Caenorhabditis elegans: one gene and its partner. The protein of the gene in region 2 purifies or fractionates together with the protein of the main gene of each other region. This does not show direct contact. Each region holds a gene or a part of one and is shown on either strand. Other genes may lie near its edges. The genes, in order: madf-3 and C50F7.3.

Evidence for each region.
Region 1: the proteins of C50F7.3 (region 2) and madf-3 fractionate together in Caenorhabditis elegans (co-fractionation; one large-scale study listed by BioGRID). This does not show direct contact.

The regions. Positions count from the first base shown.
Region 1 is NC_003280.10:4,332,913-4,339,623, reverse strand, and holds madf-3 (Alcohol dehydrogenase transcription factor myb/sant-like protein), read right to left. Parts: upstream 4,877-6,711; 5' UTR 4,813-4,876; intron 3,949-4,812; 5' UTR 3,918-3,948; coding exon 3,354-3,917; intron 2,552-3,353; coding exon 2,473-2,551; intron 1,911-2,472; coding exon 1,814-1,910; intron 1,399-1,813; coding exon 1,200-1,398; 3' UTR 586-1,199; downstream 1-585. Other genes in the region: H20J04.4 (RNA helicase), read right to left, coding at 5,889-6,182.
Region 2 is NC_003282.8:7,730,241-7,734,935, reverse strand, and holds C50F7.3 (PDZ domain-containing protein), read right to left. Parts: upstream 2,608-4,695; 5' UTR 2,565-2,607; coding exon 2,553-2,564; intron 2,420-2,552; coding exon 2,318-2,419; intron 2,274-2,317; coding exon 2,214-2,273; intron 2,168-2,213; coding exon 2,094-2,167; intron 2,000-2,093; coding exon 1,960-1,999; intron 1,898-1,959; coding exon 1,739-1,897; intron 1,694-1,738; coding exon 1,589-1,693; intron 1,542-1,588; coding exon 1,303-1,541; intron 1,000-1,302; exon of another isoform or gene 979-999; intron 910-978; coding exon 759-909; 3' UTR 706-758; downstream 1-705. Other genes in the region: clx-1 (Basic proline-rich protein-like), read right to left, coding at 1-288; C50F7.9 (Poly-N-acetyllactosamine extension enzyme), read left to right, coding at 2,876-2,974, 3,067-3,150, 3,353-3,469, 3,516-3,635, 3,703-3,799, 3,845-4,005, 4,049-4,267; sucg-1 (Succinate--CoA ligase [GDP-forming] subunit beta, mitochondrial), read right to left, coding at 4,465-4,695.

The DNA of each region.
Region 1 (6,711 bases), on a different chromosome or scaffold from region 2:
TCTGAAACATGATACATATGCTGCTTAAATGCTGAGACTACCTGATTTTCATAACGAGACCGCTAAGAAAGTTTTGAGGTTTCCAAAATTCAACTTTTTTGGTGAAAAAGTCGAGATTTTCGCACAAAAAAATTGAATTTTGAAAACCTCAAAACTTTTTCAGCGGTCTCGTTATGAAAATCAGGTAATTTCAGCATCTAAGCATCATATGTATCATGTTTCAGAAAAAGTTTAGGTTTTGTATTCCCGTAATCCATCATATTACATTGACCACTTTCACCGCTGCTTGCCCACTGAATGCATGATTTTTTCACTTGGAAATTGGAAATTGTTTTAGCATCTGCAAAAAATATTTATTTATCAGTTTTATTAAGAAAAAACGAAAAAAATCGATGAAAAACGAAAGAAAACAGGCGGAAAACAAAGCAAGATAAATGGCCGCTGAAACTTGTCGGCCCCTCGGCCATGGCCTAGAAACCACTTTTCCTCGTCCCTCGCGAGGAAAAAGTTGCAGTGTAACTTTCAGACTTCGCGGTGAGACCCATCCGCAAAAAATTTTTCAAAATTTTTCAAAAAACACAGATAAAAAGTAGGTTTTGAACACCTTAAAAGAGGTAAATTTACAACAAAAAATCCAAATTTTCTAGGATAAAAATCAATTATTCATGAAATAAAAGGACCTGAGATAGGAAAGACGGCGATGGAAATTAAGAAACTGCCCACAAAAATTACAAAAAAAAATACAGATACAGAAATATTGTACAAATATGAAAATATGATGAGACCAGTTGATGGGATAAAGATCAAAAAAATTGGAAATAAATGCGCCAAGACTACAGTACCTGGGGTCTCGAAGCGACAATTTTTGTTAAGTGCGTGTGTAAAGGTGTGCGCCTTTAAAGAGTACTGTAACTTCAAAAATTCGTGAATTTTCATCAATTTTTCATAGTTTTTCGATAAAAAAGACAATAAATTTTCACAAATTGTGAGAAAAACTCGACAAAAATTCACAGTTAAACACAGTACTCTTTAAAGGCGCACACTTTTTTCAATTTTCAACTTATCAAAAAAAAAGTTTTCAACTTATCAATTTGGGTCGTGGCGAGACCCGGCTTGGGGTAAAATCGAAGAAATTTCGAGGTTGGGTAATAAAAAGTGGACAAAAAATTGAAAATTTCGGCTAGAAAATTCAATAAAAATCACAAATAATTAGGAGCAGGTGTAGACGGAGGTTTAGCGGATTCCAAAAGTATCATAATCTGCTGCTTTGCAATTATTCGTGCTTCTTCTCCAAGTGTCCTTAGATCCGATACAATTGATGCAGAGAATGCAGAATCTCCGTCGAGAAGTACATCACCGTTGTTTGGTCGCTTTTCAGCCATCATCACGTAGTTTATGCTGGAAATTTCAGGGGTTTATTGATTTTTTTTTTGGCAAAATAAAATTATTATTTTGGAATTATCTGTGATTACTTGTCGGAAAAAATTGCACCAAATCATCAAGTTTTCGCAAATTCCAAATTTTTAAAATTTCATTTTTCTAAATCTTTGAATTTTTTTTTTTGAAAATTTTTCAATTTTTCTAGAGAATCTAATAGAAATCACCGAAAATTGTCTTAAAACCGCCACTATTTGCTTCCGACCAATCAGCGCCCGACTCCGCGCAATTCCGAACCAATCAGCGGCACAGGTCGTCGCTGATTGGTTCAAAAAAGAGAAGGGGCCGAGCGCTGATTGGTTAGAAGTTGATCAATTTTAGAGTCAAATTTCCTCTTTTTTTTTCATCAACTTTTTGCTCATTTTAGCTCACTCACTCATCATCGTAATCTCCATAATCTGACATTTCATCCTGATTTCCTCCGTCATTGTTTCCCCCTCGTTTCAGACTTCGAGCACATCGAGATAGTTGCTCTGCAAAATTTTAGTTTTTTTTAAAGTATTTATTCCGGCGATTTTAGGAGCCACGTAAAATAATACATGGAACTGCGTAATTCGTAATTTCACATATGGCGGTGCGAAATTTTTTACATGTCAAAACAAGAGTTCTAAAACTAAACTCTTTTTTCGTATTTATATTGAGGAAAAAAAACGATTTTAAAGCTGGAGGAGTAGGAGTAAATGAGGGATTTTACTTCAAAATGCGCAAACTGATCCTGAATCTCTCTGCATCCACACTATTGTCCGTAGATCTGCATCCGCACTATTGTCTTCACTTGCGAGGAAAAAACGGGAAAAACTAGAATTAACGTCGCGCAGATACAGATCTACGGAGTGCGGCGCTGAAAAAGGCGCGGCAATTTAAATGATTAGGAGATTAGTCAGAATTGAAAATTAACCAAAATCAACCGATTTTTTTTCAAACTTAATGATTTTTGATTTTTTTTTTCGGGGGCCTTTTATGGTATTTCGGCATTCAGGATCAGTTTGATTTAAAGGTTTTTTGTTTTAATTTTCCAGGAAAAAAAGCTCGTACGTTCATCCAAATGCTGATCTATCCAAGCCATATCATCATACATCTCCCAAGTTGACACATCTTGAACATTCGGATCACCCTGAAGTTGCTAAGAAAAATTTGTAAAATTTCTGTTTAAAACAAAAATAGAGGCTCCACGAAAACGGGATACTGTTGAGAAAGGGGATTCTGGCACTGTGCCAATTTTTTCTCAAAGAAAAATTGAGTTTTGTGCGTTGGCAGTGCCAGGCAGGGAGGGGCAAACGATTTTTTCCGGCAATTCCGGCAAATTTCCAACTTGCCGAATTTGTCGAAAATCGAAATTTCCGGCAAACCGGCAAATCAGCAAATTGCCCGAAATTAAAACTTCCGGCAAATCGCCAAATAGGCAATATCCCGAAAATAAAAATATTCCGGCAAATCGCCAAATTGCCTAAAATTAGAATTTCCGGCAAATCGCCAAACCGGAAATTTGCCGAATATCAAAATTTCCGGCAAATCGCCAAATTTGCCGTTTATCAAAATTTCCGGCAAATCGCCAAATTTGCCGTTTATCAAAATTTCCGGCAAATCGCCAAATCGGCAACTTGCCAAAAATCAAAATTTCCGGCAAATAGGCAATTTTCCAAAAATCAAAATTTCGGGCAAATCGCCAAATTGCCTAAAATTAAAAATTCCGGCATATCGGCAAAATGCCCAAAATGAAAACTTCCGGCAAATAGGCAATTTGCCAAAAATCAAAATTTCCGGAAAACCGGCAAATTGCCTAAAATTAGAATTTCCGGCAAATCGTCACTTTGCCGGGAATCAAAATTTCCGGCAAATAGGTAAACCGGCAACTGCCGCCTGCCAGATCCCATTTTCCATAAGTTCTCCTTTTCATGAGGCCTCCAAATGCCTACCAAATTCCTCAGCCTCCTCTTCTCCCTAACATATCGATCTCGATGCTTCTTCCATTGTTTATAAATCGACGGAACTGTTCCAGGATATCGTAGTTTATCAATAATCATTCCCCATGCTTGAGTACGACAGTCTCCATGACGATATTTTGGATCACGAACATCATAAAGACACGGATGCCTTCTCACTTCAAGAATTAGATTTTTTCCAAAACATGGCTCAGCAATCTTTTCATGAACTCCAGTTGGCTCTTTTCGAGATGGTGATATTTCTGCTCGATCTGTCATATGTGGATCTAGAAAATGAAGATGTTTGAAATATTGCCATGATGATTTCTCATTTCCATATTTTTGTTTTCTCTTCTCTTTTCCATATTTATCTCTTAATTGCTTCCATCTCGCAGATAACATTCTCGGATCACCATCAAAACCGAGTACAGTAACCAGACGCTGCCAAACTCGATTTTTGTATTCTGTATTACGGTATTGTCGGTCTGTATTGTCGAAAAGGCATCGACTATGACGGACGGCTTCGATGAGACGTAGGTTGAATGTCGGTTCGATCATTTCCTCGCCGAAGCGGGTCGCTGTGTAGTTCCTGCAAAAAAAGGTTATTTATGATTTTTTTTAGAAAAATCAGATAATTTTCTGATTTTTTTAAGCGAACTTTTTTTTCGGAAAAATGCTTTTTGGGATTTTTTTGAGTGAATTTTTGATTTTTCTAATTTGAAAAAAAAAACTGATAACATCAAACTTTATCCAAAAATATGTTCTTAAAGGAAAACGCGATTTTTTGAATTTTTATCGAATATATAATTTTAAAAAATAGTTTTTCTGTCGGAAATTAATTTTTTTTTAAATTTTTTACAAAAAAAGCGCAGTTTTTTTTAAAAAGAAAATCGAGTATTTTTTCTCAAGAAAAAACACCTTAAGATTTTTAAAGATTTTTATCGAAAAAAAATGTGTTTTTAATGGAAGATCAAGTTTTTTTTTAATTCAATTTTTTTTGATAGAATATATAATTAAAAAATGGACTTGTTTCGAAAATTAACTTTTTTAAATTTTCGTATTAAAAAAATTGCAATTTTTTCGAAAAATCTGGTATTTTTCGAAGGTTTTTAGAAACATCTTTTTTTTAAAGTAAAAAACGTTTTTTTTTTTCGAAAAAAAGTGTTTGCAAAAACTGATTTTTTACCTTTTTAAAATAAAAAATTGTTTGTTGAAAAAAAAAAATTTTGACAACAAAAGTTTTTTTTTAATTTTTTTATTTAGTAGATTAAATTATTTTTAGCACTTCGTAAGTACTTACAATTAGAAAAATTTTCTTTTTTCATATATAAAAAATTGTTGATTTTTCGCCAATTTATCGGAAAATAAATTGGATCTTTTTTGAGAAAAATCTGATTTTTTTTTTCAAAAATTCGATTTTTCTAAATTTATCCAAATATCATTTTAAACTCACATATCGTATTGTTCTTCGTGATATAAATGCTGATAGTTGTGCTCACTGGAGATCATGATTAGCTGAAAGTGTTAGAGCAATCGCTTTTTGAGACGGCTTTTAGAGATATTATGAGGAAGGTTTTAAGGAAACCATTATGGGGAATAAAAAGAAAATAGATGTGATAGAAAATATTGATTTTTTTTCAAAAGAAATCAACAACAAAAAAACAAAACAAAACAAAAAAAGTAACAATTTAAATCTAAAACAACAGAAATCGCAAGCTCGTGTACTCCACGAGGAGAAGTAAAGTACTAGAATTTTGAATTTAACACTAAAAAAAAATGATTTTTTGCTTTAAATCCCAGAAAAAAAATGAGATTTTCAATTTTTGGTGATTTTTGGCAACTTAAAAATTTTAATTTTAAATTAAAAATTTGCATTTTGTTAACAGTTGCTGTTCGGCAAATTTCTTTGTCGACAAAATCGGCAAATCGGCGAATTGTCGACCTGCCGATTTACCGAACATAAATTTGCAGGAATTTTTTGGAAGAATTTTTACGAGACGGAAAAACTTGAAACTGTGCTTTTTTGAAATTTTTTTGTCGGTTTTCTAGATATTTTCATAGAATTTGCCAATTTTCAAATTAGATGTAGGAATAGTCATAGGATGCGTACAGTTTTGCCGATTAAAATTTAAATTCTGAAATATCAAAAAAAAAAAAGGTAAAAAATCGCAATTTGCCGAAAATCTATGGCAATTTCCGTTTTTTCGGCAAGTTGCAGGTTTGCCGATTTACCGCAAATTTTCAATTCCGGCAAATTTGCCGATTTGCCGGAAAAAAATCGTTTGCCGCAAACACAACTTTAAATGCCAAAAATATACCGTAATTTTAATTTGAAAAAGTGGAGATTTGCAATTTTTGGTAATTTTTGGCCACTTTTAATTGTTTTAATTGTTCAAAAATTTGCATTTTGTTAACAGTTTTCTGTAATTTTGAGCAAAAACTGTAAAAATTTTGCACTTCTCCACGAGGAGTACACGAGCCGCGTAAATCGACACAAGCTGAACAAAAATTACAATATTTAAAATGAATTCAATTTTCTTCCTTTTTCACTTTTTTCGCCGCCAATTTCTTCTGAAATCGATCTCTTTTATCCAATTGTCCACTAATTTTCTCCAGCTTTCTCTTGGAATTTGTCATTCTTCGAGTCCTCATTTCCTCCAAATGCCTATCAGCTTCATCTTCATCCATTCCACTCATCAGAAGCTCTTTTCTTCGATTAATCTCCTTTTTCTCTCCGAATTTCTGATTTTCCAGCTTCAACTCGGCTTCTTTCTTCGCCACAAGCACTTGGGTGACGTATTTGGTGACATGTTTTGGGCTGACCTGAAAAAAATGCGAAAATTAAGGGAATTTATTGATTAAAAAGTAGATTTTTTGTGTAGAGAAATGAAAAGAGACGGGGGAAAAAATGATGAAAAAAAAATTATTTGCGTCAATATAGAGAGAAACGCAGTCAACTAGAGAGTGAAAAATGAGAGGAAAATATTTTTTTTTGGCGTCATTGAAAGTGGAAGGAGTTTGGAAATTCAATATTTTGGCGGGAAATTCAAATTTTTTGAAAAAAAATGTTTCTTCCGCCTTTTTCGTGTTTTTAGCAGAAAAACTCGCTTTTTTCGAAAAAAAAATTAAAAATTTTCCTTTTTTATCCAAAATATGGCACTGGAAAATTACAAAAGAAGTGCAATTTTTGTTTTTTTTTCGCTTTTTTTCTAGATTTTCCGAAAAAAAAATATAGCTTCAAATTTAGGCAATTTTTCCCTATTTTTTGCCGAAAATTATATGTTTCTCATGTTTTTTGAAATCAAATTTTAGAAAAAAAATTCAATTTTTTAAAGATTTAAAGATTTTTCTT
Region 2 (4,695 bases):
GGATGGTTCTGGAGCATCAGAATGTGGTGATCTTGATGGGCGGGGAAGTCTAGTCGGACGTGGTCTTCTCGACGGATGTGGATGTGGACGATGTGGTGGTCCCGAAGGATGTGGAGGGCCAGGTGGAGCTCCAGAAGGGCCTGGAAGATCGGATGGTCCTTGCGGTCCTGGTGGCTGCCCAGATGGTCTCGGAGCAGGCGGAGGGGATGAAGGATCCGGAAGATCCGATGGATCCACGGCATGAGCAACGAGTACCAAGACTAGCACCCCAAGAGCTTTTCGGAACATTCTGAAATTCATATCAAATTGAATGTGAAATAAATGGGATATTAAAAAGAATATGAAGCTGAAACTAACTGAATAATTTCAATCCAGGTCTTCAAGCTTTTTATATCATTTTTTATTAGTTCAACATCAACAAATCATCTGACAAGAGTCCAATCCTTAAAGGATACACCCACCCATAGATTCAAAGTTCCACAACATTCCCATTCTTATCAGCAATTGAAGAAACACCTTTCAGACTGTTTTCTAATGATAACATAAACTGATATCATAAACAGGTATCCCTCGGCTCATTCTCTTACTGTATTTGCAACATTTCATGTGATTTTCATAAACCTCCTTTATTTACATTGACCTTTTGTTATAAACAAAAAAAACATAATATTATCATTAATATTTCTTCAAAAATCAAATGCTCATAGACCAAGTCAATATTTATGCAAAAAATCTATTTTCAGAAAAAAATGAATGAATCATTGTTGGAAAGTTGATTCAGTTTCGGCGGATTTCATTGGAGGAAGACGCACGAAAAGTCGAGAATTCCATCCACTTGGCACATCTCCTTCCTTTACTTTTTCTTCAATTTTCAGCTGAGAGTGAGCAGATTCATTGCTTTTGGGAATTCTGGAAGTAAAAATAGAACTAATAATTTAAAACAAATCGGTCAAATATTCTAATGAATCAAGCACTTGCACATCTTAGAAAGAGAAGAGACTGTGGCGTCCCGTGTCAATTATATTTAAAACCAAACTGAAACCGTATTTTCTATAGTTGACAAAATGTTCATTAACCAATATTTTCAATTAGTGCTGCACCCCATTCCTCAAGTTCTCTTTTGTTTTAAGAAAAATTGTCAACTGAAGAAATACGTTGCAAATATTTTTCTAAAGTTTTGGAATTTATTGTTTTTTGAAATTTAAAATGAACCGAGAAATATCTCTTTAAAGTGGAACAAAGGGGTGCAGCACTAATAGAGAATGTACGGTATAAAAGCAGAAATGTGTATTTACAACTTACGGCTCTGCTAACAAAATTGGCTTCAACTGTTCACCACCGCCAAACTTTCTCAAGACTGCAATTCCCTCAGCTCCATAAGCCGCTGCATCCGGTGGCAGTTTGTGGATACGTGGAGCTTCTTTCACTGTTTTTGTGATCTGGTTTCTCAGCAGATTTTTAAGTGGATCGGTCGATGGAATCTCAACAGTAACCAAGCAGTAGTTACGGATCAATAGAGACTTTCTCACTCGTTCATTGAACTATAATTTGTTTCTCATAGAATAATATATATGCACACAGAACTCACTCCAGTACAGGACAAAGGCTTTTCGCCATCTACATCGAGAATTGTTTCTCCAACACTAAATGTCATGTCCCCAAGTGAGTTTTCAACAAGGTCACAGACAACAATCTAAATAAAATCAAACAAATTGAAAACTTCTAAACTTTCAGAAACCTTTCCTTCGATTTCTTTGATGTCAAGACCGAGATGAAAAACTTTTTTCAGATTATACAATACCAATGTATCAGTAGAATAGCTTTCATGCTTTTGGAGCGGCGGGAATCCGGAAGGACGTGGAATGTGTCTTTTGAACCTAATCACTTTGTATGTCATCTGGAGAAAAACAAATTTCGATCAGAAGTATTCGGGATTTCTGCTCCTGACAGATAGCTTACTTTAGCACATGGTTGTCCATTGATAATTGTTTGAATGAATCTGAAATTAATTTTAATGCCATTTTTCAGTGTGAACTAAGAATTCTCGGGGGAACGTCACGTTGGAATATCTAGGTGTAACATTGTTTTATTACCTTGCCAATACGCCTTGGCCTCCAATCTGATACCCATTGAGATAAACAAGAATGTCTCCAACTTTAATAAGACCCTAAAAATATAGATTTTGAGACAATAAACGTTTTCCGTATACATACCGTCCATGGACTCTCAAATGGTATGCTAACAACAACCGAACTTTTCAGTTCAATTCCTATCTGAAAGTGATATGCTTATCTTTTGTTATCCTTTTAATACTCACGTTATCTTCAGCCTTGACTACTGTAGAGAATTCTAGAGTCTCAAAAAGATGAATTGGTGGCAATTTTCCACCACCGAAAGCTTTTTCGAGACGGGATTTTGCCTGAAAATTGTGTTTTCCTATGATATAATACATAACTACATCGTCTACAATTGTGTGCCTACGTGGAAGACCTTACGCCATATTAAACTTTGAAAAGAGCTGCAGTTTTATTTCAAACATTTCCAAAACTTACAAAAGCGTCCATAAGTGTAAAATCACTGTTCAGGCGTAGGAAAATGATAAGAAATAATAAGAATTGCCAGAGTCTCGTTTTCTTTTTTTTTTCAAGCTAAATTTTTTTTTGAATAAACTTTTTTATTAGTCACGCTTAATTTCATAAAAAATAATAAGTGTTTCCACTCTCATAATATATTTAAATCGGAATATTTTTGAGTTTTTGTCCAACATTGTTACATTCGATAAAGATCAGATATTTGATAAAGATCTAGGAACACCAAAAGCTAGACGCACTTCCACGAACCTAAATGAAACAATTCAAATAAGAATTGAAATACAATGAAATCGATACGATTCAATAATCCACTCTTTTTTATTGTTCTTGTATTCGTTATTCAATTATCATTAATAATTTTTCGGGTCGTATTTATAGGAAAGGTATGTCAGAATTAAGACTCTTTGTTAACTTTAAAATATGAAGACCTTTTTGAATTAATAAACAGTTTAATGATATTAAAAACTATTTCCAGCCTGCATCGTCCGTTCGCGCAGCCCGTGAATGCCTACACATTCAAACAAACACTGCTGAAACAGATGATCAGTTTTTCGGAAGGGTATGCCATTTTGAAAATGGCTTGCTGTTTTTCTGGTTTTGAATTTGTGAAGATATAAGATCAAAATGATGTGATGACTTTATCAACTGATAAGTTCAATTAAAACCCACTTCTTTGGTGAAACTGAAGCTTGATTTCTCTTTTTATCTCAAAAATGAAAACTTCCTGAATATGATAAATATCAAAATTAATGTTGTTTAAGATGTGGCCTTCACTTCATCAAGTGGTTGATAAATGCTCATATCGTCATTTTAGAGATCGTGTAAAAGTATTCGGATCTTCTAAACAATACATTTTATGGCTCAATTGGCTTGTCGATGTGAGAATATTTGAATTTTAATTTAATCAAGAGTTTGAATTTTCAGAATAATGAGCACATGTGTAACTCAATTTTCATTCACAATTCAAAAAGTATTGCAATGGAAAGAGAGTTTAAAAGATACAACAGGAAATGTGTGATATATTCTTTGAGTGATAAGCATACGGTACGAATGAAGTTTGCTAGTTGAATATAATAACTTTACGAATTAAAAAAAAGGAAATTAATTCCAGGAAACCTCACACTATCAAGATCCTCGATATAGTGTCCTCACATTAAAACAAAATGTGAGCTCACAAGCACGGCATTTAGGATGGGGAGTTGATCATTGTAAGCATATTACTTGTTCACGTATGAATATACAAGATTCTTCAGATGCTCGAGATTCGAATGCAGTTGATTTGACATACTTCACAGTTGTACAAGTGCATAAACTACGTTACGATTCAGTTAATATATTTTACGATGGAAGTCAACATATTAAAGCTCTGTTCACCAAATCTGCATTCGATGAGGCAAATCTGGTATCATGTCAGGTAAAAATTCAAGTTTGATTATCGTGTGCATAATTAATTTCAGTTCAATATCCTATACGATAGACCAAAAGGCCGTCTAGCTCGTCGAGAATTCCGTGCAACATGGAAGAAGCTTCTTTATGATAGACGGTATTTTGTGGCCAGTGTACGAAGGATCAGTGGAAGTAATGATAAGATATCTATTCTTCTTCTTAATATTTGCGATCCATATTGTTGGGCAAAATATATCAGTAATCAACCATTCCTTGCCAAAAATGTGTGACTTCTATAAATGATTTTTTTTTTAATTTAAATTCTAAATTCTAAAATAAAACAGGAAAACACAACGGTAAAGAAACAACAAGCTCTACGGAAAAATCCTAAAACAAGAGTAAATACCCGAGAATACAAGAGAAAAATGAAATGATTAAGGGAAAATCCTAGAAAGTAAAATTATAAACTTAAAATGAGATGTTTCGATTATTTCGGAAGAGAGGAAACAGCTTTAGCGGCGGCTTCATCCAAATTGTTGGCTGTAAGAATTTTGAGTCCAGACTTCTTCATGATTTGTTTAGCGGCATCAACGTTAGTTCCTTCCAAACGAACAACCATCGGCACATTTAATCCAATTTTGTTCACTGCACTAACAACACCATTTGCAATGGTGGCACAGTTGACAATTCCTCCGAAAATGTTGATAAGAACACATTT